4 linked regions of the Lepisosteus oculatus genome follow. The protein of the gene in region 1 purifies or fractionates together with the protein of each later gene. This does not show direct contact. Links are inferred from orthologs where the notes say so. Each region holds a gene or a part of one and is shown in the gene's direction. Other genes may lie near its edges.

Region 1 (7,950 bases):
CACACTCCGCTGACCCCTGACCCCCCTGTCTGCCGCAGGAATGACCAACCCGGAGGTGATCCAGAACCTGGAGCGCGGCTACAGGATGCCGCAGCCCGACAATTGCCCCGAGGAGCTCTACAGCGTGATGAAGCGCTGCTGGCAGGAGAGCCCCGAGGACCGGCCCACCTTCGAGTACCTCAAGAGCGTGCTGGAGGACTTCTTCACGGCCACCGAGGCCCAGTACCAGCAGCAGCCCAGCTGAGCGCGCGGCGCGGCACCAGCCCAGCGCCTTCGGAACACCCCGGCCCGCGAGGCGCTTGGGTCTCTTTTGTTGTTTTGTTGTTTTTTTTTTCTTTTTTGAAATGTTCTGTGAAACGTTTTTTGCAGGGAGGAGAGACGGTAATCTAAGACTCATGTCCTAGAAAAGCCTTCCGCTTTTCCTACAGGTTTTGGGTGTACAGAGTTTCTGATTTCTATGTATCTTCGTTGCAACGCTTTGTTGCGCTTTTTTAACATTTTGTTGTTTTTTTCACTCCCGCCCGAAGGGAAATTGAAGGAAAAAACTTCATTCCCGTTTGTAAACCACAAGTTTTCACTGTCTCCAAAAGCGTTAGTGTTAATACTATCGCAGAGTATTTAGGATTACATTTACTTTTTTGTTTTTACTGGCATTTTTGATTATAGAAATATTCATATGTTGGATTACAGCTATACTGTTACCAACCTTTGTGCTTAGATGTCTCATGGTCTTGCTTTTTCTGTAACACATTGGCACATAATGCCTCTGTGTTTGTGTATCCAAATAATTATCAAATAAAATATTAGGAAATAAATGTCTCTGTGCAATAAACATATTTGTGACTGTACCAGGTGTCACTCGAACTGTTATGCAGAAACGGAGCTCGTTAAGAAACTACATAGGACAATATTTTCATCGGATTAATTTTTAAAAGAAGAAAACTTGTAGTTGGAATTGTAGAGACGTCAGTGCAATGAGAGTTGCTCACTGTTCAAAACATAGGAATAAAATGAGTTTCCGGAGAAGCAGTTAATTTCAGCGTATGTGGCACAGCACCAAACACATGGACCCTTAAGGCGCTGTCATTAATCATCACATAGGTACACCAAGACGTTCACTGAAGGGCCGACTGCTGTTTTTCTTATGTGCTTTCGAACACTAACAACAGCACGCTGTGATTTCACGTGGATCTGGAAGTAAAAGAACTCGGAGACGTTGTGTCAAGTATCTAGTCTGACCCCCACGTTGACACCACCAACCCACACAACCCCTTGGTCCCGATCTGCAGGGTCTAGACGGGTGTCAAGTCCACTTCAGTGAAAGGCGAGCTTTGCGACCCCGAGGACAAGACGTGGCCGCTCTGGGGAGTCACGTCACTATTGTAAGCGGCTGATGTTCTAGGTATATATGCTGTGCAGTCGTGGGGACGTACTTTTTCTCTCTAGAAGGCGGGCGCGTTACAGCCACTCACCAGACCGTTTCGGTAGCGCAACACCTGTCCGCCGCCGGCGGCTCCTTCTCACGATCATGTGCCGTTATAATGGAGAAGAATAAACGACGGAGGCAGAATACTCTTCCCTCGGAAGTACAAATCGATGACCTTAACTCCTCAGATCGCTTAAACGCTTACTCTCTCAGCAGCCCGCCTGAACCTCTCTTCTCGTTCCTGTGCCGTCACAACGACCTTTCACCCTCTCGCCTGTGAAACGCATCATTATTTTTAAAACTCAAAACTCTTAACATTTACTAAATTATGTTTTACACTAGATTATATGTTGCACTGTTTACAGCCTCATCTTGCATTGCATGATCTGTTGCGGTTTTAAGCAAGCTGGAGATACGTTGCTGATGAGATGACCAATGGCTATGTCAAAATGCTGCGGTAGAACCAGTATACCAATTGCAATAGAAATGCAGCAGTATTTATTATTAGAATTAGAAACATAGAGGTGTAAAAATACGTTTTAAGAGACGATGGGAGTGCCGATCGACTCTGAAGAGCTGACATGGGTTGGAAGATCATTCCACAGTCCTGGAGCAAAGGAGCTCAGTTTCCCAGAGTTATCCAGGAATTGGAGCCTTGTTTTGGAAACTAAAAGAAGGTCAGAGTCCGAGGAGCTCAAACGACTTACAGACGCAGCCAGGAGCTAAACCACTCAAGCCCCAAAAAGTAAGCAGCAGCATTTCAATTATCTTCAGAAATCGGCAGGGAGCCAGTGCGTGGAAGCTAAGGTCTGTATTTTAATTTTAATTCAGGGTCTGAACAGCTTCATTCTGAAGATATTACAGGTTGTTGAGAAAATGTTTGGATGCAGCAGAATGCACGACACTATAAACAAGTCTGGAAAAGACAACAGCGTGCATTAGCTGCTCTGTATCAGATCGAGAGAGATGCACACGAGGAAAGAGACACTTTCATAACATGAACTTCAGATGCGTCAAAGACGAATTCAGGTCTGCCGAACTGAGCACTTGAACGGGTTCCAGGACAGGTCAATGTGAAGCTGCTGCAGTGGTCGAGCCCATGAGGATGAGCCTATCAGCAAATTCTGAGGGCAGAGCTGTGGCTCTGTGGCTCGGGATCTGCGCCTGTGGCTGGAAGGTTTCTGGTTCATATCCCATGACTGGCAGAGGAATCCAGTGCTGTTTGGCCCCTGAGCAAGGCCCTTCACCCCAACTGCTCCAGGGGTGCTGTATAAAATGGCTGACCCTGCGCTCTGACCCCAAACTTCTCATGGAGAGCAAGCTGGGGTATGTGAAAAGACAAATTCCTAATAAAATAAATTGTATATGGCCAATAAAGTATTCTAAAACAAAACCTGTCAGAGTCCAGATAGTCACCCCATTTGCTCCTGCCCGACCTTGAGGCATCATCATAGGGTTGTTTATCTACATCACTTCTGTGAACGTTCCTCACCTTTTCTCCCTCATACACTGCTCTGGTACTTCCGCTCCTGTGCAGGATGTTGAGGCACCAGTAGCCTCTGTTCACAGCGGTTACGCGGAAGATTTATTATTGTAGTAGTAGTAGGAAGAAGACAAAGGGGCAGATGCAGAGCCAGTCAAATAAAAGCCCTTCTGAAGGAGAAGATGCTGAGTCTGGGTGTGAAAGGGCTCAGGGAAGGGGACTCTCTGACATCCTTGGGGACAGAATTCCAGAGCTTCAGGGCAAAGCAGGAGAAGGCCCTGTCACCCACAATATGTACACGGGCTTGGAAACGGACAGGAGACCAGAATTAAGACAAATAAAGGTTGCGAGGCGGGAAGGGGGAAGATGAGAAGTCAGACATTTCCTGAGGTGCCAAGCCGTGTAGAGTCGTATAGGTGAGCACGAGGATTTTGAAGTTGATATTGTGGTGCCCTCGCCTGGCTAAAGTGTGCGATGAAGGGCAGGACGGGAATAACAGCCAGGGCAGGGACTAGGGATTACACAACACCCTCTACCTCCAGGCAATGAGGCTGCTAAATAGCCAAGCAGCAGCTCCTTCAGCAGATCACCCGGAATGGCTACATGGACACACAGTTTTCATTGTATTCGGCATACTGCACTACTTTGATATAATGTACTGCATACACCCTGGGCACATCGCAGCTCTATTTATATATAATATCATAATTTATATTATATTTAATGCGATTTCTATTGCACTATTATAATGTAACCTTATTTTGTAACTTTAATTTTGTGATTTTTAAACCCTCCCCCCCCCCCAGTGAGCTCGTAGAAAAGACATTTCATTGCCAGCAACTACTGCTGCATGCTGTATTGTTGTGCATTTGATGAATAAACTTTGATTGATTGATTGATTGATTGATTGATAGGGGGCCTCGGGCCAGCGCCGCTGACCATCCGGAACGGCTGTACACTGTGTGAAATCACTGTAAAATAGTTATTCCCCAGTTCTGAACCCCTTTTATACCTGTGCCCACTGACCACCCTATAACTACCCACGTACCTGTACCTGAAATGACCCCCGTGTGGTGTAACCTGCTTTGTCGTGCTTTAGCTCTTGTGTGGTTGTTGCTGAACTGGACAGCCATTCGACTAACAAAGCGCTGACTGTTTGTGCTAAAAGAGCCTGAGTTCTCGTCTCCATCCTTGCCAAGCCCTTCGTGTTACAATATAGAGAGAAAATATTGTGGTCCAACATACGACACTGATTTTTTTTTTATCTAAACAGTTATTTAATTAGTAAAACATTAATTGAGATACACCCCAAGATTTAACCCAATAGCCTTCAGTCCAGAGTCTGGGGCCCAAATAGTAACCTCTTATTTAGATTAGTATACCACACATCAGGTGACTTTCCAAGCAATGCCATAGTGAAGCCAACAGAAAATTATTTGGAACTTTCATGTCACTCAAAAGTAATATTTAACAAGTGACACTGGGTATTTTGTGATATTACTAACCAGTCATTACAAACACCAGTTCCAAGCCTAAAAAATAAGGCTGGCTTTCTGCACGTAGCTACCTGGTTCATACCATGAACGTAGCGCAATGTAAAAACAGTATTAAGTGACCCCTTAAAACGAATTAGCGCCAAAAATATAAACTTATCTTATCATATAAATATTTTTAAATTTATTTTGGTCTAATTCGATTTTATTGTTACCCCTGCCGCCCTGGACACTAAACCACAATGGTACAGTCCTGAAGTAAAAATGAGATTTCCGAATATTGGACATTTTGAAACTGGGGCCATTTTGGATCCCACGGAGAACACCGCTTTAGGGTTGAACTGGACGGATAACCGGAGCCAAGATGGCGCTCAAAGAAACACAGTTTCATACCCTTGTTTATCTTCTGTAGAGGGGCGGATAACCCATTCGCCTGCGAAGGACGCGATTGGACAAAAGGGGGAAAGACGGCCGCCCGCTACGGTCCGAGCTAGTCTCTGATTGGCTCCAGCGGTGTCAATCCAGGTTCCCGGTTGTGGCTAGGGCTGCGTAGCGCCCGGTAGACAGGCCGTGGCTGTGTCTGGAGGTAAAATGGCGCTGACTCAAGGAACAAAGAAAAAAGTTTGTTATTATTATGACGGTAAGGGTAAAGTTTAAGTTGTATTTTCCTAAAACCCGGCCGGCGTAACGTGCACGCACGGAGATATTCGCCGGGAGGGCTGCGTTTATCGTCTCTTTTAAAGCCTTTTTTTGGGGGGAGGAGGAGGGGGGGGTGAGTCCGCCGGCCAAGCGCTCATAGAGCCATGCAGCATCTCGTACCCCCTCCTTCCCGCAGTAAGAGGGCTGCCGGGCAACGTAGTTAAAATCATGGCCAGGATAAGTTGAAGCGGGGTCTAAATTTGAATTATCGATGCACAGTGGTCTCCGGCGGCTTTTCCAGCGTTTGCATGCTGGTTTTCTTCCCCCCCAGTCCCGCGTCATACTGGCCATCATAATAATCCCGAAGTCGCCCGTCTCCCCCCGGCGACCGGGTTACCTGAGTCGGTAAAAAGACGGGCTGCTGCGTCCCTTTTATTTATTTATTTTTACCGCCCCGGAGGGGTCGACATGCCGCACACCCGGGGAGTGAAAAAAGAGGCTTAATTATTGATGCTGTGCGGGGTTTTTTTTGTTTTGTTTTTTGTTTTTTCCCCGGCGGTGGATGCAGCCGCTGTGAATCGATTTGCAGCGGGGCGGCGGGATGCGTCAAGGCGGGGGAGCGAGGTCTTCCTCTCCCTTGTGCTCGTTTGACACCAGCCCCCCCCCCCCCCTCTAGACAGGGCTGAAGTGGCCCCTCCATCAGGCATCTCCCCGCCGGAGAGGGGCTCCTGCGTGGGCTCGCTGTGTGGGGGCGCCTTGCCCCCTCGGCCCTGTCGCCCGGTGTGGCTTGACACGCACGGACCGCCATGGGTGGACTCGCTCCTCCGAGCCTGTAATAGTCATGCCAGGGCAGCTGGCCTTGCAACCACCGAGCAACAGCAAGTTGCTTAAATCGTTCCTTTAGTTTCTCCAAAGATGCACCTTTTTTTTTATCTCGGGAGGTTGGTTCGTTTTTATGGCAATAATACAGAACATGCACAATGAGAGGGGCAGTAAAGTCTGTAGGAGCAGAGGGGTGAAGATCAGAGCCAGTTCAGAAAAAGGCTCTTCTGAAGAAGCAGGTTTTTAGCAGTTTGCTGAGGGGTGTAAGAGAACAAAAAAACGATCAGTAAAATCTTCAGGCAGCAGTCTGGTTAGGATCCATCGCATTAATAAACACGCAAAGATTGTGGTATGTACCTTGTGTTGCTTATAACTATTCCTGATACTAACCCAGCACCTTTTTGGAGGGTGCACCTATCTTTTTAAGAGCAGTGTTTTGCCTTTCTTTGAGCACAGATGATAAGTGTACACAGAGGTGGTAGTTTGATGTCCTCTGAGGGTTTAGCTTGTGTCATATGTACGATCGTGGTGCTGACTGTAAAACTTGTGGCGCTTGGTTAATTCTGAACGTTGCCATAAAATGTAGGTTTTGGTCCAGTGGAGTTCATCGTGGATACATTATAAACGAAGGCCGATCTGCCCATCTAGTCCTTTCTCTGGTTGGTAGCTAATTGATCCAATGTCCTTATTCAGCTGTTTCTTGAAAGAAACCAGGGTTTCGGCATCAGCAGTATGACTTGGTAGCTTGTTGTGCACTCCCACAACTCTTGATGTAAAGTAAGACAGCCTCCTATCTGAGTTTGCTATGCACTTCCGCGTGTGACCTCTGGGTGGTGTTTCACTGCTCATTTTGAAGATGTCCTTTAGGATGATGGTGTCAGTGCCTTTGAGTATATTCAGCCTTTGATTCGAGTACAGTAGTGTTCTCTGTTCAAGACAGGTTTTTTTTATCGTCATGTATTCATTTGTGGTAGTGCTCTAAGCTCGTAAAACTTTATTTGTGGTTTTAATTACTGTTCTCAGTGTATGGTCTGTAACGTTTTCTGGTCCTCCAACATACCAGTGTTCATCTCCTAGATCGTTTCAAAGTAGATACATTTGTTTGACTGGCACATTGTTGAGGAATCTGGATTTTGAAGATGAATGCTTTTGTTTATGTTGCTGTTGGTTTCGCGAATGCCAAAGCAATTCTAATGCAGCTCCTTCCCATCTTCCCTGCCCTCGTAGGGGATGTTGGGAACTATTACTACGGTCAGGGTCACCCCATGAAGCCACACCGAATCCGGATGACCCACAACTTGCTCCTGAACTATGGGCTGTACAGGAAGATGGAAATTTATGTAAGTACGAGAGTGTTTCTCTCTCTCTCTTTTACTCTCAGGATAATGTTGCTGCATGCATTAGTAACTTATAAACCCTGTCCCGTCCCTGTTCCAGTTGTGCCAGTTGTGTGTTTATTTAGGGTTTCTGTTTGTGCTCCGGTAATGAGATAGGAATAAATAATATGGTGAAGTATTAAAATATTTGCCAAACAGACCTCAAACTACAGGGTTTTCGAGGGAGCAAATTGTAGTGGCTGTCCATGATGCCTTGTTAAAAGAGTAAATAATCTGGTACTGTTGTCATGTTCAAGCATTCATAGTGTTCCCATGATGCCTCTTTAGGTTTAGTTATTTGTTATGTTCAATATTCATCATGTGTATCTTTTTCACTCACTGATGACCATCAATGTTCCTCAGTTGCGAGAGTTTCATAAAGTTTCAGACTTGGTATTTAATCTTATGTATGTTTTTTTTTTATTTCTTAATGGACTAAATGTAACACAAAGAGTACCTCCTTTTATTTGGCAGGAAAGCACGTTTCCCATCTGGGACACCGAAGGAAGTAAGGGAAGGCTGTTGACATGGATGGGCTGCAAGGGTCCTGGTCCCAGGACGACCCTGTCGGGATTTTGGGAAGTGCGGCTTCTTTCCGTGTGTTCACGTTCCCGTTCCCCTGTCTCCTTAGCGTCCGCACAAGGCGAACGCCGAGGAGATGACCAAGTACCACAGCGACGACTACATCAAGTTCCTGAGGTCGATCCGCCC
Region 2 (7,215 bases), on another chromosome or scaffold:
GTGACAGCAGGAAATCCAACCTGCACATTCCAGTGCAGCCAGTGAGGACAGACAGGAGACCTGGGGCCTGGATTACATTAATCAATTATTGCATAAGAGAATGCTTCTTCACAGAGGCCATTTGACAGGCAATTAGGGAAGGGAGAGGATACACAGTTCCAGTCATGCCATTTCGATAGGGAATCCAAACTGTTGCATATGCGACAAGACATTCAATGTGTTGTTTTGCTAATGCACTGGGGAGGAGAGATTCCCCCTGAGGCAGATCTCTGACTTTCTTCCCAGGTTTACTAGTGAATGTGGAATTGGGCTTAAAAATAGTCCATGCAAGTATTTTACACTCAGAATAGGCTGGCAATTGACTCTCCCTGTTAATGTAACACTTCAACTCCAGTATTTATGACACATATTTTGCTATGCAGTCCATCCATCCAGACTTGCAGTGAAATGATAGAAGAAATTTGTAGCCTGGAACTGAGTGGAGGGACTCAGATCTGGGAATTGGACTTGTCAGCGTGTCTAACTCAAACCAGGAAATTCCCAGAGCACCATCTTTCTTGAAAACACAACCAAGGACACCCCTCTGGACTGACAACAAGTATAACATCCAAGACAGAGTTTCTGCCATATAATAGTGTCAACTATTATTGACTGTGTTAATAGCCTTCTCATTGTCCGTAGTGGAGCCCTCAAGAAAAACATTGTGTAATGGCACTGTGATTTAAAAATAGAAGAAAAACAGGCATGGGACATTTACATACAGTAGTATTTCATCCGAACTGCTGTCTGGAGATTCCTTCATGGAGACTCATAAATACCATGCACTCTCTTTATTTCTGCTTGAATCCATTTATTACACTAACCACTGAGATATTTTGTTCCACATTATTGTTTAGGAAGCCAGTCAGCTGAGGTCAGGCCTTTATTTAAGGCTTACATAAACCTCTTGATGCTCTGACATAAAGATGAGCTTCACACAAGAAGAAGCTTTAACTGCTCTTCAGAATGAGAGAACGGCGATTTTCCCCTCGTGTTCGCCTCGCGTCTGACTTGGATGACAGCAGACTGCATGCAGAGTGGGCTCAGGCCCATGTTTTAAGACAGCTGAAGGTTCTGGAATGGAGAGGAGGGCAAAATACTGAAATCTTTGTTAAAAATACCAAATTGCTGTCATCTGCTGCTGTATGTTTTGATTTATCCAGACCTCTTTAAAACCGGAGAGTGCAAATGTCCTCTACAGTTCACATGGTAAGTTCATGGAAAAGATTCACAAGCCTGCTTCCCTGAACCGTCAGTAGCCACTAAGATGTGGAGGATCTGATTTTTAATTCCCTTGTCTTATCTTCTATTGGGACTGTCATATATTTTATATAGTATAGTGGTTAAGCAGACTCATCTGATATGGATTTGAGGCAATTTTTGGAACCACAAAAAGGCAGCAGCCATTGCAGTTCTTTAGTGACAACATAATACATCTGACGTCTCTAGAATTCGATTGGAAAATCGGTGAGATTAATAATGCAGTAGTGTGTGTAAGACTTTGAGACCCTGTGTCCACAAGGGAAGAATCCCTCAAGTTGGAGCACTGAGGATGTGGTAGGCAGATGTGCGGCTTGTTGTTTCAGAGCAAGCACAGAAATATGTCTGTTAAAACAGCAAATGTTTCACGATTATTCCGTTGGACTGATGTTGCAGTCTAATCCTAGGCCTGGAGCCCATCTTTCCTGTTTTGAATGCGTTCAGGGACGGAGAAAATCTTAGTCTGGCAGCAGCTGATTCGTCTCATCGGTGGTTTGCTTTCTGAAGAATTTGACACTTGAATGTTTGAAGCCAGCCAAGGATGATGAACCACAAAAAATTAAAATCCAGTACGAATTACATTACAGTTCTGTTTTGGACATTTCAGCCAAAGGAACAGTAGCCTGACACACAAAGCCGTAAACACGGCCATTATAGTGTAAATACGTTTTAGACACAAGTATATGAACTAGAATAATCTGGTTTGCGTTTGTGATGGCTAAGGTGCTGCAGGTACAGGGGAAATCAAATGCCTTTCGATTCATTAATAAATCACAGGGCCTTGTGACAAACTTCCACATCTGGGTCTGACAGTTAATGAGGGCCTCAGTCTGTGTGCTCCTGAAAAGGATATAGACATCAAATGTGAGAATCCCAAGGGCAACATTATAATAAGAGTGGCATGTACTTTTAGCTTAAACTCCCACTGAATGCTTTTTTATCTAAATTAGACCTGTAGACGCTGATGGTGATGACTTCAGACGCAGATAGCATTAAAAAGAAGTGCCCTGAGAGATATTTTGACAGGAACTGTGCTTCATATCTGGTTATTAAAATCTGAGTTGTAAGAAACTGCCACGGAGACTCCTTTCCTCTTAGTTTCACTAGCGGACTGTATATTGTTTTGTTAGCATTCTCCTGTTACTTCTCCGGAGTAATTAAATGTGTTTGGTTAAACAGTCGCCCTTATAATGTACGATTTATAAATGGGAAAAGAAGGCCCCTTGCGTGTCAATACAAGCAGCAATCGTACATGTACAACCGAGTCAAAATGAACTACACTGCTCACGCCAAACTGGAAGGGAAACGCGAGTACAGTGCAAAGAAAATGAAACAGAATCTGGCTTCGTGTTGCCTTGAGTTCCCAGATAGGTTTATTTTTGCTCTAGGTTTCACAAACCACAAACGAATCACGCTATATTTTATACACTGTTTGAAACTTGCGGGGATATATAGCGAATTGTTAACTGTAGAGGAATGTATATATATATATCTCTCTCATCGCAGTGTGAGCCTGGGAAGCAGTGAGAAATGAAAGGTGCGTCCGAAAACAGTTTTCGAGATGAATTGGAGATTCTAGATCTCCACCGTTTGAACCGTTTGATCGACGCTTCCTCGGTTCCGCGTTTGAAACAGTCAGGTCCGTTCGGCTGTCCAAGTCACAAGCTGAACCGTTGGTAAGTGTCGTGAACTACGTGTCGTTTTTAGTACAGCAAGGGCTACTACATAACAATTATTCTGTACTTTTAAATTTGGTTCATACCGGTTCTAGTGGGCCTGTACGTTTTTCTAGGCTGGTGAGATACGCCTTCTTTATAAAATCCATTTTTATACACGCCACTCGATGTAGTTTTATAACCCAATCCTTGCCTTTTGACTGAAGAAAACTGTGCAAATTAATTTACCTGATTAGCTCTAAACCCATTAAAACATTAATATAATATATACTGTTATATACCCCAGTTATATATAAACGGGTTGTATGCAATGTGTAAAATGGTAGTATTGAGCATTTAAATTTACTTTATTCAACAATAATAAATGTTTTTAATATAATGGGTACATAACATTCAATGAAAACAAGCAGTGGACGCTTGGGTTTTGTGTTGTTGAAATAAAAAATACAAAATGCAACTTTAACAGTTTACCTTGAGACGTAGTTCCGTATTTCAAAAATACCAATAAGTGTATTAATGTTGAGGCTTAGATTTTTGTCTTTGTATACTTTCATTATTCGTAAACTCAGCAGTTTTCAATGTATTTTTGTGAGTTTACTTGTTTCTGGCTATATCTTATAATGCAAAGGAACAAGTAACAGGTTTATTCCATGCTGAAAAAAAAGACAATGTTTCGGCCGTGGAGCCTTCTTCGGAAGAAGGCTCCACGGCCGAAACGTTGTGTTTTCTTTCTTCTTTTTTTCAGCAGGGAATAAACCTGTTACTTGTTCCTTTGCAGACTACGCATGCTGACGCAGCTACCCACCTGAACTGCTATATCTTATAATGTCAAGTTGTATCAGGTTCAACAAAAAGTGCAAGTTTTTTATGTACATAAATTAGTCCCGGGGTTACGTATGCTATGCTTTTGTATTTATAGCTCCTCACATTTGCCTTGTGTAACACGTAATATTCGTAATACTGTACTACTTTATTCGGTATAATACATTTACCAACAGTTGTAAAAATGTTGAACGCTTAGGAAATGGAAAACTCGCATTTAGTACTGCTTCTGTTACGATTTAAAAACCATCCATGAACACACCGGCTTCATTAATGAGAACACATGGGTTTTATCAAATGCAAGTGACTGGCGAGCTGAGTAAAACTCGCCAGTCCACAACTGGAGAGAGTCCAGTTCCGGTTCTTAGCGACGGTCCTCGTGGTCGCGGTCCAGTCCGTGCGGAGTCCGTGCCTGAGCTTGCGTGCGCCTCGTTCTGCTTGTTGGTTACATTGTATCAATCTCCCAGCATTGAAAGATACAAACAGCCATCAAGATATATTAGAGATACAGAGAAACAGAATCGGGGGATTTTAAACTGGTGCGAAAACCGGCAGAAAACTGGATTTTACTTCCCGGGACCGGAGGAGACGTTATATAACTCGAATCGGGCTCGCGATCGACCCTAAAAATGCCCGTTTTAGCCGGTATTTTTCAGTTTTGAACGGGATTCAACGTGTGATGGCAGCAGTCCAGTGAACTGGCCTTTCCTTCCCCTGCTGTTGGATTTCTTGGGAGTTCTATTGATTTATTTTGTCTGTTTATTTTGAATAAATCGGTGTTCCTCGCATTTTTCCCACCCCCCCCCCCTCCCCGACCCCCAACTTTCTGGATCTATGGAGTGTACTTAAATATTCGTGGGATCGGGGTGCTCAAGTGGGTAAGTGCTGGAATTTTTCGGGTCTTTTTTTCTTAATGCGGGAGGTATTCACAACTGCATGCTTGCCGAAAGCCCTTTGTCTGGGAGACTCCAACAGTGGATTTTTATCCTTAACTCCGAATTACAGCAGATTCCTTAACCTTTTCTCCCCACCCAATACGGCTGCCGACTAAAACAGAACGACGGCTCAGGAAGTGTGTTTTTCTTTCTTTCTGGGGATTGGAGAAATAAACAATTTAATTTCACGCTCGTCTCCCAAGCCATCCAGCATGAAGTACTGATTTAGAATCACCAGCGGTCTTTCTGAAATTAATATGTAATTGCATGTGCGTTCGCTCTGAACTGTTTCACGTAACCATGTAGAATAAAGCTGTCTTTGAAGGCATTACTTACACCTTTTCAGAATGGCATATTTAGTGAGAAAAGTACATAGATTGGGTAGAGCACACCGAGAGGGCTTTGTGTTTTTAAACCATTTCGAATCACAGGAGTTTCCTGTTTCTATCAAGGGTTTTGAGTCTCAAAGCCCAGCGCTTCTTAGATAATCAAATTTTAGTTTTACAGAGCGGGATAGTCCCCAGAGGTGTAATTTTATCTACTCTGTAATCATGTTCGGCCTTTTCATTAGGCTCTTGCGCCGATGTGCATTTATGGCACACTAGTCGGGGGTTCATTCTTTTGTACAGGAAAAACGCGGTCATTTCTCACATTTGAAATTATTCACAGGAGGTTTCGTCCTCCTCCCCCCTCACTTTTCCTTTGCAAAGAGTCTTCTTCAGCGTCGCTAAAAAGCTCAACGACAAGAATCCAGAGATTTGCGAATTGCATCTGGGGCCTGTGCCTAATGTTTAACCTCGTTGGTCACACACTGGTGGGCATGTTCCGGAGGCGTTTGCAGCAGCGCAGTGCACAATGGACACTGTCTACATGATGTGCCCAGATTATGTGCTTGAACTGGCGTCGGCAACCCTGGCGCAGTTTTCATCCGAGGGGTCTCTTGGTTTTCTTGGTGTGTGAAATTGTACCTCACCTTTCTCGAAAGCGAAAGTAAACTTAAAAAAAATATGTATATTGCAACGGTTTATATGTTTGAGGCCTTGATTGTAATTACATTTAGCACGTATGAATCCACCATGTGATACTTGAGTGTAAGAGAGCCAGTTGGGGACCGTAAAAAGTGATTATAGGACTCGGCACAATTTATTGAGAAAAAACGTAGTTATTACTGCTGTTTTTACTTAAAATCCTAAAATGGATGTATGTTTTCTAGTGAAGTGGTTGGTTTTATGTGCTAAGTGGTCGATTATCAAACGGTTGTCCATTGAGGACAGTTGTAACTGCATCTCCACAAAAATGTAAAATATAATAATTCGACAAAGACCAAGTTATAAATCCCCAATTCCTGTTTTGGTGTTGAATTTTGTAATAAGACTATAAATCTAGTTTCTAAAAGTGTGAATGAGTGAAGAATGACTTTGAGAACATACCCACATTATTTTAATTTGCCTGGAGTCATCCAGTAAGCTTTTAATTTGGTCAAAGTGAAATGGAATGTGAATTGGGGACGATTCAGGAAGGGTTTATTAAGTGTATGATGCTGTTTTGTCAGTGTTCGAATTGAATGGAGTTCCCTTGTTAATTATTTTAATAAGAAAGCCTTCAGTACTTTCCCATATTTCTATAATGTTGTTATTGTGTCAGGTATTAGTATATGCTTGACACAAGTATATATCTTAAGTATTACGTTCGGTTGCATTGGGAAGGATGATGTGCTAGCACAGAATTAATATTTAAGGCATTTTAAACACCCCCAGTTAACAGAAGTGTCCTATTGCTCTCTGTTGAAAGCCACACTCTGATATAAAATCATAATTGATGTATTCAAGACCATAGATCTGCTGATTAAAATGGTTGGAGAGAAGGGATTATCCTTAAACAGTTTAATTTAAGGAAAGGTCCCACTGCACTGTTCCCAAGAGCAGGGTTCTAATCCTAGTGCAGTGGCTGTATTCCACTTGGTCCTGAACAATATGACCTCCCTAAATGTCCCCTGTGGTTCAGTTGATGTAATTTCTCACTTCTGCTCTATGCTGTGAGGGCATAATGGCTGCCAGAAGGCCAGCAGGTGAGTGCTCAGTTCAGTGGATGATGTGGGTCACCCCCATGTCTGAAGCACTTTGAGGTCCTTTGAAATCTGAAGCGCTGTGTAAATGCTGGGCATAGCCAGACCCTTTGAGAATTGTCTGTTTATATTACACATCTTTGGTATTGAAGGCCTATATCTTTAACAGATTCTCCCTGTCAACCTGTATTTTTTCTTGCCCATTGGGTTTAAGTCCCAACAGAAAATGTGTACTTTGTTCAGAAATGTCTAGTTTTGTCTTATTGGTTGTCATATAGCTGCTGCCTGACGGTTTGACTTCTATGGTCACTTAAGAAGATGTATGATGAAATAGTTAACTACAGTGGTTTCCTCTTGTGCTGTACATATGTTTGCATTTTACATGTTAGACTTTACATAGACTTTGTCTTTGCCCTTA
Region 3 (7,313 bases), on another chromosome or scaffold:
GCTTCTCACAATCAAATCTAATACAAAAGCCGGTCGCAGAACGAAATCGCTTCATCTGAATGCTAAAATTGTTATTAGGGTACATTAGGAGGAAGCCACGCACGTGATTGGAAAAATCCTTGCAATTTGTGATTGAAATAGAACCTATTAGTTGTTGATTGGATAGCAACAAAGTTAAGTGCTCTTTTATGGCCCTGATTAAGAAACGGAATTTGAGCCACAGGACCGTATTATCGTTCATAATAGTTTTTTTTAATTTTTCAGCTTTAACATCATATGGTTGCCATTGGGTATTAATTCTTGTAGGCTAATCCTTCCCTTAAAGTAGACAAATTATGAGTCAATTCCAATACCTTAAGCTCCTCTGTCGTTTAAAACGGCGTTAAAAGGTAAACGCCTTAAATTAACGATGGCACAGTGTTTTATTAATCTTAGAGAATCGTTATATGATTATATAATAAATCAAGTAAACACAGGATTGTGTAATGCATAATGAATCAGGACAACACGTTTTTGAAACAACAAATGGATTGATTGCCTCAGGTACATTATCGTATGTATAATATCAAACTATTACATGTAGTGTTAAAATGCATCAGGCTGGGCAAGCTGGTGTCACCTCACAGATGCAGGTAAGATTAAACAGACCACTTCAGTAAGTTGCTTGGTAGATGTCAACCTTAATTTCTTGATGCATATATATATGGAAAATAATCTAATGCTTGTTCTATTTTTACCCCTATATGTAACTCTTAGGTGTCTGTACACCTTCAATAAAAACAGTACATTGCACATAAAAACAACACACACACACAATTTACATAATCAACTTGACAGAGTCTAGTTCATTGTTTGGAGGAATGTGCAATGACACCTGAAATGCATTGATTATGTTTATTGTCAACTTCATAAATTAATACAATTCTTGATCTTTAACCATTTCCCATTTCATTCCTTTAAAGTAGGGACACCCCTTTGAGCTTGTCAACACAAACACTTTCTGAAAGTTGCATTGTTCTTTACAAAATCAGCAATAAAGCTGTAATCTGTCGCAATATAATCTCACTGCCTATTAAAAAGCAAAAGCACCTTTTCACATCAAATCACCCGGGCAATTGTTTCCGTTTGGGAAATTACAGAACTACAGGCAACAAATGTCTGACAATTTTATGGAAACCAGATTGACCCTTGGAGTCCCTAACTAGCAATCTGTCCAATTCCTAAATACTAGAAGTTAAAAGCGTGACAAAAATCAAGAGTAGTCAAAAGCTTAAATTTAGAGGATGGGGGGTGGGACTCATACGGTATATGCTACTGAAGTTAAAGTGAAAAAGAAATGCCACTTTTAGAAAAATATTACCAGACTGCATCCGGGTATCTTCTTCACTGTCACAACAGACTTGTGCACAAATGTCATGACAAAACACAAAGGCAATACTTCAGTAATTGAATCCGTGACGGGTATAAGACAAATCCTATACCAGAACAATTAATTTGTATAAATCTGAAGAGTTGTCTGGTCTCTGTGGAATATAACTCAGTTGTCATTTCAGACTGTTTTGCAGTTAAGAACCCCAAAAAAACCCATTAGGTGTTCAAAGAGCTTAAAGAGAATATATCTGGTGTTTGCATGGCATTTAGCTTTTCTGTAACCTCTAGATGAAAGTTGTTTCACGAAGAAAGGCACTGCATTTTAAATTAAATTATGTTACTAAACACCCCATCAAATCCAGTTTGTCTATATGAAATACCTAACATGAAATGTATGTGGGCCCTCTTTTTATGAACACAAAGGGTTAAAGGGAGATGCATTACCAGCATACCAAACGTTTACGTACAATTTTATTTAAGGACTCTATGAGAGATAAGTTTATTAGATATTCATTATTCATACCAGTAATGCCCTTTAAGTGTTGCAGCATATATTTTACTCAATATTCATCACACACTCACATAAAGAATACATAAAATCAGAAATATATCGATTAGCTATAGACTTTTACTGAGATGTATTATATATTAGAAAGACGTTGCACTCTCGTTAACATTGCGCCCATGCAATAAATCAACATAACACGACCGTTTTCTGCAAAAAATGATCAACACCCACTTTAAATTGCTACTAAGTTTCTTAAGTGTTTCTTATATAAAGTATGACTAAACGCAAGAGCTGTGTGGTCAAGTATGTCATATCTACTTATATATTATAATAAAGGATTATTATTAATTATGCTTCAGCCCATGTTTAACGCACATTACCAAGTTAAACGTTAAATACACTAAAACATTGAATCACATTTAATTAACAAATAGTGGGTATATACTGTATATATAAAACAGGTTAGTATAAGCACGATCGTTTGGTCAGATAGAACTGCCTTACAAACCCTCTGCAACATTTCAAAGAAAGAATATTGCATTTTTGCAGAAAAGTAACCTTAACTCAAGTGTACGTATTAAATTAAGTTAAGCACTCATATTTACAGTATGTTTAGGGACCTCCGATAAGCGTAAGATATTAACACTTTAGCCTAGACAGCAGGACTCAACTAGCATATACTGTTTATACATAAAAACTAGTCAGTGTCCCATTTACTTTAATTTAAAAATAAAGAATAATTTCATACCACATCGAAATGAGTTCTTGGCAGCTGCAAGACATTACATGCTTGATTTAAGGGGACACAGAACCCCTTTTAGAAAGAATAGCCTGCACCGATATTTAAGTAGGTCGTTTTCTCTGAAACTGTTCTAAAAGCTGTTCTTAAAACCCTCTAGATTAGGCTTTCTCATTTCTGAGATTTCGTATCGTATGTTTCGTACATGTTTATTAATATCAGCCTGCTTTGTAGCCCGTATTTTGCAAGAAGGCTCATATTCAGGTAGCTTTTCCTGACACCGAGACGTTAATACTCCCTTTGAAACCGCCAGTACGAACCAGGTCTACGCGCAATCTTACTCTTTACTCAGTAGACTACGTTCTCATTTTTAATATTCGTAGACGGCATTTACAACTTTCCCCGTCGTATCCCCATAACACATATTTATATACTCTCCTATCTTCATAATCTCCAAACTTTAGCTTTCCATATTCATAAATCTTCAAAAAGAAACCCAGGACTTGTTTGACAAATACCGGTAAATAAACTAACCTTGACCGGCAAATATTTTCCCCCACTGCTGAGATTTTTCTCCGATGCTCAACTTCCTCTCCGATCCTTTCTTTCTCTATTTTCCCATTCATTTTTACCCCATCCCCTTTGTATCCTGTCTCAGAATCCGCGTCTAGCTCACGTTTTCATTCCACTTCGCTCTTGTGATTCACTTGTGCAGCCGCTAGTCTTAGTACTTTTTATTAGTTTGCATGGCTATTTCTCCTACCCACTTCATACACAGTTCATGTCATCGCTTTTGTTTTCTGCCTGGTGTCTCTTCTAGTATAAGCTGTCATTATTTAGTCTCCGCTCTTTGGGAGGCGTTTTGTTCTTTTCCTAAATCGATTTCCGCGAGTGTCTGTGTTTTTCTCTCCCCCTTTTCGTCTCCCAGCCCTTTGTTGGAACATACTCATCGACCCACCGCAGATCTTTTTGGACATTTGCATCCTCTCCCAATTTTCGTTCACAGCCCACCTTTACCTGCTTTAACCCCTATTGCATCACATGTTTATTTCAAACTTAGTTCGTTCACTCCCCCACCGTCGCCGTGTGTCAGACTTTACACTTCGGTTTAAAAAAAAAAAAGAAGCCGCTTAATTTCTTAACCCTCTTTTGATCTTTGCTGTTTTTTTTTCTACTCCTAGTCCTCCTTTACTTTTACCCTGCTGCGAAACCTGTCTGTCCCATACAGACAACCTGCTAATAATATCTTAAGTTCTGTTTCGTTTCTTAGCTCAGTGGTCGCTGTGCTCCTTGGCTACTGACACACACGAGGTGGTCTAGCTGTGTGACCACGAACTTATTTTTCACTGTGTTTCCGTGCCCAGATCCCTGATCAATGTCCACTGCGACAGCTTACATTAGACGGGGTTTTTTTTTTCCCTTCACTGCCATATGTCCAGCCCCCTGATCCCTTGTCCATTGGCTTTTCTTGGTCTATTTTTTTCACGTCCAGCCCCCTGATCAATGCCCACTGCTTTCACTAGACAGCTTTTTTTTTCCCTCTTGTGCCTCTTGTCCGGCCCCCTTGATCTCTCTGTCCATTGGCTTCTCCGGGTCTATTTTTCATGTCCAGCCCCTAATGAGTGTCCATTGGTTTTGTTATTTCCATTCCCTCCTCCTACTCTCTGTCTTTGCCCTGCCCATGTTTTGTATGTCTGTGTCCATCCATCTCCTGACGTTCAAGTTCGCAGGGACGTCACGTCCGCACTTGAACTTGCAGCTCAGGGGGGCTTTTGCCATTTTTTTTCATCTCTCTCTCTCTTTTCAAAAAAGCCATGACGGCTATCCCACAATCCATCTTCCCTGCGCCATCTTTGTATTATTTCTAATTTATTTTGGATGTCAAAGGCATTGATGAAGATATTTTCTCTGGAGTCTCCTTTCTAACCCGGCTCTCCCGATGTGAACCGAGCTCAAAGCCACCACCAAGCACCATGTCTCGCCGTAAGCAAGGCAAACCCCAGCACTTAAGCAAACGGGAATTTTCGCGTAAGTAGAACAAAATTGTAATTTACACCCTTTTCTTCACTTTTTCCAGCAACAGTCTTTAATTTCCTGCAGTAAAGAAGAGAAACAGTGACCAGGAGCAAAAATCTTGGTGAAGGTGGTGCTGGACATTGGACACCGAAGATCGCGGTCAAGTGGACTTCACAAAAAAAAGCGTGGCGAGATTTCTTTTGCACCCAGAAATGCCAATACGAAATGCGGTTTTCTTAAAACTTAAGCAGAAAAAAAGTTTTTATTTTTTTGCATTCAGCTTTTTGAATCCGGAGCACTTTTACAATAAGATTTTCTAGCGTGCTTAAGATATGCCTTTCGTACCCCTTGTGCTTAAGCCGCTAAAGGGCATAGGGTAGGAAGGCGATTGTAATAGGTATGCATGCTTTATCATATTTATTATTTCTAGTGGAAGCCCCTGTAACACTGTCTGTTTACTGCCTGGAGAGGATTTCCCTCCTCTCGTACTATTTTTTGGAAGATTTTCAAAAAAGTGGAAGTGGATTTTGATTGGGAAAAATCTCGTGTCTGACTGTTTACAAGCACCGCGTGTGCGGAACCTCCTGCCAACAACATCGAAAGGGGAAAAAAAAAGAGTAATATTCGCTTAATTTTCTTTCGAAAGCTGCGTAGACCGCTGTCAAACGGATGGATTTGTAATCTAAAAGCTTTATGTGCACTACTTGAGAAAGATTGCTCTTAGATTCGACTCTAGTTGTTTTAGGGGACGGCTTTATAAAGAGGAACAGGAACCCCGGCTTACTCTTCTTTTCGATTAAATATTTTCCCCCTTTTTACACATAGATTTTTGGATCGACTGTTATGTTTATTTTACTTTAACGTAAAAGGGAAACTCGCAAGGTAAGGTAAAATAAAATGTATGCATGCGAGTCAGAACAGTTGAGTTGCCTCTTTCTGTTTTCGTTTCTGCTTTTCATAGATGCAAAAAGTAATCATTTTGCAGACTTGCGCGGCGTATATAGCACATTATCGTCTGGGCTCTGCATGTGTTCAGGGATATTTAAGTTCGCCACGTTTGTTTTTGCGTGTGGATACGTTTTTTAAAGCTTTATTGGAAACGAAGGCGACACACTGTTTAAAACCGTCCAACATTTGGCAAACGCAGTAAGCAAGCGTATTTGGGACCCCGAGAGATCGGAATTCGCGATTGAATGAATGAAATGTTATGTTTTACATCTTTATTCACAAAGATCTGTAAACCTTGCGTTTTAACGACTCGAATCTTGCGAGAACGATTCCGTAATGTTCCTTGTTCAAGACACATTAGTGTTAAAGCGAGCCGTTTGTCTAAGTTGCATTGAAGTATTGCTTTGTGTGACGGTTCTGTCGCTAGGAGGCAGAAGATGATCATAAACTGGAAATGAACTTGAACCTGATCAATTTCACCGCCACCTCAATCTACATATCCTGACGATATGTTTGGAATAAAAAGGAAATACATAATACGCAGGTTATAGCTTCTTTTTTCCCACCCACTTTATATCTTATTTTAAGTAAATTAAACTCGTATAAATGACGAGACACCGTCGATCATTCAAATGATTTCTAATTTACTGGATATCTTTTTTTTTTTTACTTTTGGTACCCTTTCACAATCATGAAAATGAAAAGGAGCTTTAATTTAGTAATTGAAAGCCACGCGTATTTTCAACATTTTCTGTAACGCATCAACTTATAAATAATAAGCTTTAGTATGCACAGAGGTTTCAGGCATTAAGACTCTCCATTTAAGGTTAGTATTTTATGATTTATTATTGTTGTCCACCTCGTTCATTACATACCTTAGCTCGTAAGCATTTTTCTGTACTTTGAGTTTAATACGTGTATGAAACTTACGTATTTTTTACACTTATTATATAGAATAATATACTATTATATTGAGAGTATTCTAATTTTCGTTTGAAGACAGGAAATCAAAATGGAAAAACTATAAAATGTCCTTGTGTGGCGTGTTTCCTTTAGATCCACGTGTTTCAGTATTAAATCATCAGGAAAGTCGTATTACCTCCTCTCTTAAGATATTCAGGGGAGCTAAGGCTAAGAAATTTATGTGGAATTTAGGTGGAATTTATTATACAGTTGTATAGTTTTTAATTAAAAAAAATTTCAGGCATGCAAACTAACAATGAAATGTTCAAAAGGTAATTTTAAATGAAGCCCTTTTAATTGTGTGCAGGTTTTGTGTCTTTCCTATATTTCTAGCAACGAAGATCCAGTTCCTCACAGCAAGCTACTTTGTTGAAAGTATTCTGAATCAAAGCAACATTTTCGCTTGTTACGTTAGAAGTAATCGCAAGACGTTTTCAAAAACACGTGAAATCAGTGAACTGTAAAAATGTATGCTCAATATTAGTAAAATATGGAGCAAAAACACAATGTTGCTATCCAGTTTTCCTGGATTTCATTATTTCTGCCACTTTTAATAAATATTTTAAGTATACATTAAATTGTTTGACAAAGGCTACTGAGTGTATTCTTGGAGACAGTTGTTTTTAAAAGAAAATACAATGATAAAACAGTTTTGTCCTGTTAGAGAGATTGTTTTTATATACATGGTGGGCAGGCAAAAAACTTTCAAAAAATGTTTCCCCCGAGTAATGTAAACATAAGAAAGTGGCAGAATTTTTCAGAGTAGCT
Region 4 (7,732 bases), on another chromosome or scaffold:
AGCCTACACACAGACTCCTGCTGCCCCATGACCCTGAATTAGATGAAGCAGTTAGAAGATGGACGAATTGATGGTTTTGACTAGAATCAGTTGACTAATAACAATTAAAATAAACAGATTCAGTTTAATGAATCAGGTCTCAGGGTGGACAGTTGCCAGAAGACTGAGTGATTCCTGACTCTGGTAACTGATCAGTTCTCACATAATCTATCTCTTCTCTGGCACACTGCGCGATATCTAGTGATCTCTGTGCAGATACACTCATCATACATAAGCTGATACAAAGTGTTTCAGAATAAATCTCTTACCAACATCCACAGCTTTATGAAGCCAGCTGGTAACTGCAGAAAAGATCAAAGCATCACCATGTGTATGAATTAATGAATTAAGTGCAACAAACACTTATTTCTAAAAAGACATTTTAAAAATAAGAAGTAAAAAGGCTGGACTTACATTGGGTCGTAACTAGACAGGAAGAGAAGTAAAAACTGAGTCAGAAATGTTGGTAATGAATGATTATGATTTCTGAACATATTTAGTTTTATCTGTACTTACAGCGGACTTGCTCATTTACAATGGTTTCTTCAGCAATTTTAGCTAAAAGAAAAAATAGATATTTTAAAGATCAGTAGTTCATAATAGAACTTATAATTTTCTAGAAAAGCATTAGAGCCAGTGACAATGTTCTGAAAAAGGAAATTAGCACCCACAGGTAATGACACTGAATTAACAAGGCTTCACATTAGGTTAATGGCGATCTGCTTGTAGACGCTGCACTCAGACTGACAACACTCTTTGAGGTTGCTTTGCTTCTGACCTGTTATGGACAGCTCATATTCACACATACAGTATACAATTTTTACAGGAAATGTAGGCTTCCGAAAGGTGTTATGCTGGATCTTTCCTAAAGAAGTCCTGAACAATGCTCTTTTTTAGAAATATGCAACCATTTTGCCTCTAAACTCTCATTAGATGCTTCTTTTGTTCCACTTATCCTACAGGGTATTTTGTTTCATGTGACACTCAGTGGAAGGCAAAGACCAGTGGAAAGTAAGGAAAGGGTCCTGTCAGATCGACCCAACTTACCCAGGTCTTTGGTTTTGTCGTTTTTATTAGTGGGATTCAAAACACCCTGTGGATCTGGAAAGGGAATACCAATTGTTAGATGATTTACATGACATAATTCTCATGGCAACAAGCTGGCTTCTTTAAGAAATGGCTGGATGAGACTGCGTCCTGTTCAGGACTCTCTCCACGTGTCACTGTGCTGGGGAGGAGTAGCCCTGAGTGACAGAGAGGTGTTTACAGGGCTGTGGAACGCAAGGAGTATCCTGCTCTTACTGGAGAGGGCTCCTAATGATCGTAATTAGTATAATGACAGTGTGTGGATCATGGAGAGGGACAACTGCTCAAGAATAAACACGTCTGTCAGGTATTTTCACAGAGTATTGCTAGAGCACGATTTGCTCTTTTTTATTTTCCTCTGACCAGTCAAGTTCACATTAGAGAAAAGCATAAATGAGAATATTAAATGTCTAAGTATGTCTGCACCTGTATACTCACACATACTGTTGTCTGGAGACAAATCTCTTTGAATAAATTAAACAGACAGAAAGCAAAAACTCGCAATCTTCTGTGACCAAAGAGCTGGCAACGGTGTAATTTAGATAAATTAATTCAATAATTAAGTAATCTAGGTCATTAAGATCTCTGGCATGGTGAAAACCATAATTCCCTGTGGATGTCTAGAAGAAACAGGGAATATATCTGATATAAACCGTCAGATGCTTGAGCCAGGATGCAGGAGAAACTGTACCCATATCAGAAAGCGTTGTCTCGACCCAGAAAGGGTGTCTCCAGATCTGGTCCTGGAATGTCACACTCCAGCGTTTTTTTACTTTTAGGATTCTTAAACCACATCAGCAGCTTCAGACCTGTTGCAGGAGAGTTAAACTGGACCAATTATGCCTCATGTTAGCTAACTCTTTTCAAAGTCTTGTGCTATGGATAATTGAAGGAGACCTACAGAATATGGGAAACCTGTGAAACAAAATGCTTAGAGCTCACCTAGTGCTCTTGCAATTTCCTTGACGGCCTTTGATACCTTTGTCTTGCTCTTTGACTTGTGTCGGCTGCTTCCTTTGCGCTTTGCCTCTGGAGAGAGAGGGTGATGCAGGTGGGAGAGGGGAGTCCTTTATCAGTGCCTCAGTGCGTGCACTAACTAAATGCACTCTCATGAGGAAAAATGCACTACATGCTAACTGCAGTACACACACACTCAATGGTTAATAAAAAATAAAAAAAAACAGAGTTTTACGACAGGAAATTGATTCCAGTTGTCAGATTACGTATACGCATACCTTAGCGTTGTGCAACAACCTGAAACTTTCAGGTACCATAAATAATATTATTGCAAAACATACACCATTCTAATCTGCAAGCGACCAGAATATAGAATACAACTTTTTGTATAAAAATGCAAATGTTGAGAAACACCCAAGCAAACAAAAAAAATTAGCTTTATTTTTTGCTAATGTTCTAATGAAGGATTCTGCTATGACTGTGCTTATTCAGTTTAATTATTTGAAAGAAGGGACTGGGCTTTTAAAATGCGTCTAATCTGCCCACTAACTATAAACAGACGAATCACTCAGCTCAGGCGACCTCAGCCTGGTCTGCCAACTGCAGTGTCCTACCTGCATCCCAGAGCAGCAGAGCAATCACCAGGAGCAACAGAACCAGTCTTCTCATTGTGCCCAGGTGACAGACCGAGCTCTCTGTATGGTTGTCAGTCTCTTGCTCTCTCTCCTCTCTCCCTTTCCCCCTTCTGTCTGCGTATTTATACATTCTCACCTCTCCTGTGTCCCTCCCAGGCTTCCCAGCAGCAAAGACTAAAATTACAGACCCCGGGTTTGAAGGCACAGAGAAATGAAGGCTTGCTTCCATCTACAGCATCAGATTAGTTCTAAGCACCCTACAATTTCCCCAGGATTCCAGAAAAGGCAACATTCTGCATAATTCATTAGCGCTTTCTGAACTCACTAACCTGGTTAAGTCAGAGTTCTAGCAGCACAAAACAGAACATTGTGTGTATGGGTTGTATTTCTGCACAACCAGCCTCTAACACTATCACTGTGCAAATCCCTCATTACTATCACTCACTTATCACAATCACTGCGCAAACCCTTTCTCACTGTCATTCACTTATCATGATCACTGTGCAAAATCCTCATCACTATCATTCTGCCTTTGCACCTGCAGCAGTTTTCTACAAAGCAGAGGTGGGGACAGCAGTGAACCTTTTAACAAGCCAAGCATCCCAGCGGTTTCTGTGCTCAGTTCACACAAGTGCATCCTCTACCCGCTTAAAGGACATCAGTACTCTTAACTTTGCATGCCAGGCAAAAAGTCAATCTTCAAGCCAGATACAGAGTTCAATGCTTTTGAGAATGCAGCTGATGAGGACTGCATTCTCACAACCTAACTCACAAGGATCTTTTTTAAGCGCTGTATTTGTTTGGATGTTTTTAAAAACAAATCAAGGACATCAATGAGCCCTGCCTGTGAGATCAGATAAGATCACTTTATTAGCCATATACAATTTCTTGCATTAGGAATGTGTCTTTTTGCAGACCCCAGCTTGCTCTCCATGAGACACACAGACAGGGAGAGAAGCTGGGGGTCAGAGCGCAGGGTCAGCCATTTATACGGCGCCCCTGGAGCAGTTGGGGTTAAGGGCCTTGCTCAGGGGCCCAACGGAGTAGGATTCCTCTGCCAGTCGTGGGATATGAACCAGCAACCTTCCAGCCACAGACACAGAGCCACCGCTCCGCCCCTGTAAGTTTCCTTCCTGCCCCCCCTTGCTGAAGGTATGGTGCCTACTCTTCGGTGCCTTCACCACCAATAGTGGTTAATTTGAGGTTACCAGGGTAGGAAATTACAGCTGTTAAAGATGTGTCTATGGAAAATACACATTAAAACTGAAACCGTGTTATTAAAACAATCTGTAGTGTTACTTCCTCGGTGTGTTTATGACAGAAACAGCGACGATCCACAATCCTGCTTCCCTCCTCGGACAGGGTCTGCTCAGGCCGCCTGGTGATAGAGCTCATCCTGGGACAGAACGTGGCGATCCAGGCGTCGGAGTGGAGAGAATTTTCCAGGTGTTTATTTGCAGTCGAGATGTAGCGGTGTGTGTGCGTGCCTCTTTATTAGATCATTTCTGGGTTGCCTCCACTGAACCTACGTCAGGTAGAATAAATAAGAGCAAAATAGGTTCTTATTAACTATTTTTGCTATTTTGCTGAAGTTGATGCAGGAGGCAGAGGGCTAAATTCTCCTGGGTGTCAAACCAGGGAAGGTCAGAGAAACAGGAAGATGACCAAATACATGCCTCATTCACTGACCTCCAGCAGGAATTCAGGTAAATGAGAAATGCAGAGATGCCGTGAAATAATCTTGCGTTCTGTAATACTCTGTAGCTATCATGCTGCGATGGCGCCTACGCATTGTAAAACGTCCGGCTTTGGAGGAGGTACACCGGGCAGCCACACTCAATGAAGAGCTTAGTCTGGGTCGCACTCCGCAGGCGTGGAAACCTCACTGGGGTGGGGGCTGTGTGTCGTACGCATGCGCGCCAGCAGACACGGTGGAGGGGGGGGGGGGGAGAAGGAGGAAGTAGGCTGGGCGAGCATGCGCACTGGCACACCGGTAGCTGGAAGCGGCCTGGCAGGACGTTGAATTTTAGGGAGAAAATTTTTTTTTTTTACAAAAAGCCGAAGCGCCTGAGTCAGGTCATCGACGGGGGTGGGTAAAGAGGAGAGAAGGTAGATTTGGAGTGCGGACTTTCCGAACCGTAGCCGGATCACACAGTATTTGAAACGAAAAACACGTCGAGACATCCATGTAAGTATGACTATTGTGTTATGACACGGTGGAGTCCACGTTAGGATAAGGTCAGCGTTTGCTTTTGGTTTCTCCGAGACACACTCGCCCCGTGTTTTCTGAAAGTGGGCCATTCGCAGTGCACGACTGTATAATATATCAGATCTGCACAGTTACGGGTACAGTTACAAAACCTCGGTGCACTGCCGTCATCCGCCGTTTTGCCGGTCATAGTAAAGACCTCAGACACGCCGCTGGCACGTTTTATCCGGACCAACGCTGGCCGGGCTCGGCGGCACTGGCACTTCGTTCGCCGGTGTTACATCTGCACCGACGGAATCGGCCGTATCGCATTTAGCGGAGAAAGTCCGGTGCTTGTTGCTCCAGCCGGATTTCTGTTCTCGCATGTCATGTACCGGGGGGTGGCTGGCTGTACCCCTGGAGCGCTACCAGGTGTTGGGGGTGACATTTCAGCCGGTCTCTGAACTCACCGCCTGCTCCGGCGGCCGGAGCGCAGCAGTCCCCCAGTGTGTAGCAATTGGGGGGGTTTAAGGAAATGACCTACAAAACTGGCCGGGTTGTTTTTCTCTCTCTCTCTCCGAGAAACAACCTCCTGACACATGCTGTCATTATATGGGGTGTCCCTTTCTGTTCCAGTCATGGAAAACAACAACAACAACAACAACTCATCTCAAGCCACCAATCTGCTGCAAAGCCTTCAGTATCTTTCAGTTGCTGGGCTGGGCTGTGCGTCCCAGTGCGTGTAGGTTTCCCAGTGTGTCGTGATGCAGCTCGTTCTCCCCAGCGCGCAGGCCGAAGACGCCGTGTTCCGGTGGCAGAGGTGTGGCAAAACACTGGAGGTGACACGAACCTCTCGGCTGATACGAGCTCCTGTGATATCGGCTGACAGCGAGCGGCAGGAGAAGGTCGGGGAGACCCCGGGGGGGGGGTCTCGCGAGCGCGTTCGCACCCAGGGTAGAACCCCGTGACGTCAGAGATCCGTCGTCACACGTCGTGATAATCAGATGAGCCCTTGGCGTTGAAGGCCGCCGTCCACCTGCACGTTCATAAATGCTCACTTAAAGTCCCCTTAAAATTAAAAGTCCCAGTTAGCTCCGGTAATACTAATCAGTGCTGGGGTATGTTATAAGCAGAAGCGTTAACAGATCCACTGTAAACACTGTCAGGGCGGGTCACTGGGTAAGGCTGTTTACTCTACCCGCTGGTAGACTGCTGGCAAAGAGTCCGCTTGTGTTTTTCGGGCACATCGGGAGGAGTCTCAGACAGCTCCCAGGCAGGTCTGAGACCAGGGGGTTCGATTTGCTGGTGAGCCTGCTGGTGCTCAGCGGTGAAGGGGAGGCCTTCCACTGTGACTAGAAGCACGTGGCTTTTTACATTTGTTTTCTGAAACCTGGCGCTCCAGGAGTGCAGGACCAGCAGTGTTTCCCCTTCTGAGCATTTAACACCGAGAACAGGAGGGGCTTCTTTACACCGCAGGGTGGTGGGAGTGGGGAACAAGCAGCTGTTGACCATGCTGTTGAAGACAGTACCCTGGTTTCTTCCTAGAAACAGCTGCACGAGGTCCTCGGGTCCTTCAGCTACCGCCAGAGGGGCTAGATGGGTCCAAGGCACTAACGATCCCAGCCCGAACCCCGGCTGTGACCCTTGCCCTCTCTGCAGTCGTTAGCTCCAGCCAGGACAAGCGGCCACTCTGCGGGGGCTTGCAGGAGCTGGGATGATGGGATATCCCTGCGCGTCTCTCTCTTTCCCTCTGGGCTGCCCCGCCAGAGAAGCAGGGACTAACCTCTGGGCCCCTGTCTGTGTGCAGACGCCAGGATGAGCTCGGGAAGGGACAACGTGCGGCTGAAGAGCTACAAGAACAAGTCCCTGAACCCCGAGGAGATGAGGAGGAGGAGGGAGGAGGAAGGCCTGCAGCTCCGGAAACAGAAGAAAGACGAACAGGTGGGCCTGTAACCGGGGGCTGCGGGGGGCCACCCGAAAAATGCGCAGCTCAGCGCTGCCTTCGGTTTACTCTCAGGGGCTGTCAGTTATAGCCTGTAACCTGCTGCAGTTAGGTTAGCCCACTGGGCTAGATGGGGTAAAGAGCCTCCTCTTCTGTTCTTCAGGGACAAATCTGAATTAGCAGCTGTTCACTAGAAGCCTGCAAGCATAGTTACTCTGTTCTTGCGGTTGGATATGGCCCCTTGTAGAAAACCGCATGCAGAATATCAGTGGCTGTTTGGTGCTGGACTGGTGTGTGTGGTCAGTGCTGGTATGTGGTCAGTACTGGTGCTGGGCTGGTGTGTGTGGTCAGTACTGGTGCTGGGCTGGTGTGGGTGGTCAGTAGTGGTGCTGGGCTGATGTGTGTGGTCAGTAACTGGTGCTGTGATGGTGTGTGGACAGTGCTGGTGCTGGGCTGGTGTGTGTGGTCAGTGCTGGTATGTGGTCAGTAATGGTGCTGGGCTGGTGTGTGTGGTCAGTGCTGGTATGTGGTCAGTAGTGGTGCTGGGCTGATGCGTGTGGTCAGTAACTGGTGCTGTGATGGTGTGTGGTCAGTACTGGTGCTGGGCTGGTGTGTGTGGTCAGTACTGGTGCTGGGCTGGTGTGTGTGGTCAGTACTGGTGCTGGACTGGTGTGTGTAGTCAGTGCTGCTGTGTGGTTGGTGCTGGACTGGTGTGTGTGGTCAGTGCTGCTGTGTGGTCAGTACTGGTGCTGGACTGGTGTGTGTGGTCAGTACTGGTGCTGGACTGGTGTGTGTAGTCAGTGCTGCTGTGTGGTTGGTGCTGGACTGGTGTGTGTGGTCAGTGCTGCTGTGTGGTTGGTGCTGGACTGGTGTGTGTGGTCAGTG

The links.
Region 2: the proteins of hdac1 (region 1) and zinc finger protein 609 purify together in Homo sapiens (co-immunoprecipitation; 4 studies listed by BioGRID and IntAct, with this or other methods). This does not show direct contact. The link is inferred for Lepisosteus oculatus from reciprocal best matches to the Homo sapiens genes HDAC1 and ZNF609.
Region 3: the proteins of hdac1 (region 1) and bcl11aa purify together in Homo sapiens (affinity purification with mass spectrometry; 5 studies listed by BioGRID and IntAct, counting the BioPlex papers as one, with this or other methods). This does not show direct contact. The link is inferred for Lepisosteus oculatus from reciprocal best matches to the Homo sapiens genes HDAC1 and BCL11A.
Region 4: the proteins of hdac1 (region 1) and kpna1 purify together in Homo sapiens (affinity purification with mass spectrometry; 3 studies listed by BioGRID and IntAct, with this or other methods). This does not show direct contact. The link is inferred for Lepisosteus oculatus from reciprocal best matches to the Homo sapiens genes HDAC1 and KPNA1.

Annotation. Positions count from the first base shown.
Region 1 is NC_090706.1:3,430,517-3,438,466, forward strand, and holds the start of hdac1 (histone deacetylase 1), read left to right. Parts: upstream 1-4,930; 5' UTR 4,931-4,993; coding exon 4,994-5,042; intron 5,043-7,090; coding exon 7,091-7,203; intron 7,204-7,870; coding exon 7,871-7,950. Other genes in the region: tyrosine-protein kinase Lck, read left to right, coding at 39-244. UniProt on the Homo sapiens protein: Histone deacetylase that catalyzes the deacetylation of lysine residues on the N-terminal part of the core histones (H2A, H2B, H3 and H4).
Region 2 is NC_090700.1:60,139,100-60,146,314, reverse strand, and holds the start of zinc finger protein 609, read left to right. Parts: upstream 1-4,200; 5' UTR 4,201-4,675; intron 4,676-7,215. UniProt on the Homo sapiens protein: Transcription factor, which activates RAG1, and possibly RAG2, transcription. Through the regulation of RAG1/2 expression, may regulate thymocyte maturation.
Region 3 is NC_090712.1:9,969,532-9,976,844, forward strand, and holds the start of bcl11aa (BCL11 transcription factor A a), read left to right. Parts: upstream 1-4,294; 5' UTR 4,295-4,591; coding exon 4,592-4,646; intron 4,647-5,121; exon of another isoform or gene 5,122-5,251; intron 5,252-5,282; exon of another isoform or gene 5,283-5,516; intron 5,517-5,972; exon of another isoform or gene 5,973-6,408; intron 6,409-7,313. UniProt on the Homo sapiens protein: Transcription factor. Associated with the BAF SWI/SNF chromatin remodeling complex. Binds to the 5'-TGACCA-3' sequence motif in regulatory regions of target genes, including a distal promoter of the HBG1 hemoglobin subunit gamma-1 gene.
Region 4 is NC_090700.1:4,265,979-4,273,710, reverse strand, and holds the start of kpna1 (importin subunit alpha-5), read left to right. Parts: upstream 1-4,712; 5' UTR 4,713-4,905; intron 4,906-6,712; 5' UTR 6,713-6,720; coding exon 6,721-6,846; intron 6,847-7,732. UniProt on the Homo sapiens protein: Functions in nuclear protein import as an adapter protein for nuclear receptor KPNB1. Binds specifically and directly to substrates containing either a simple or bipartite NLS motif.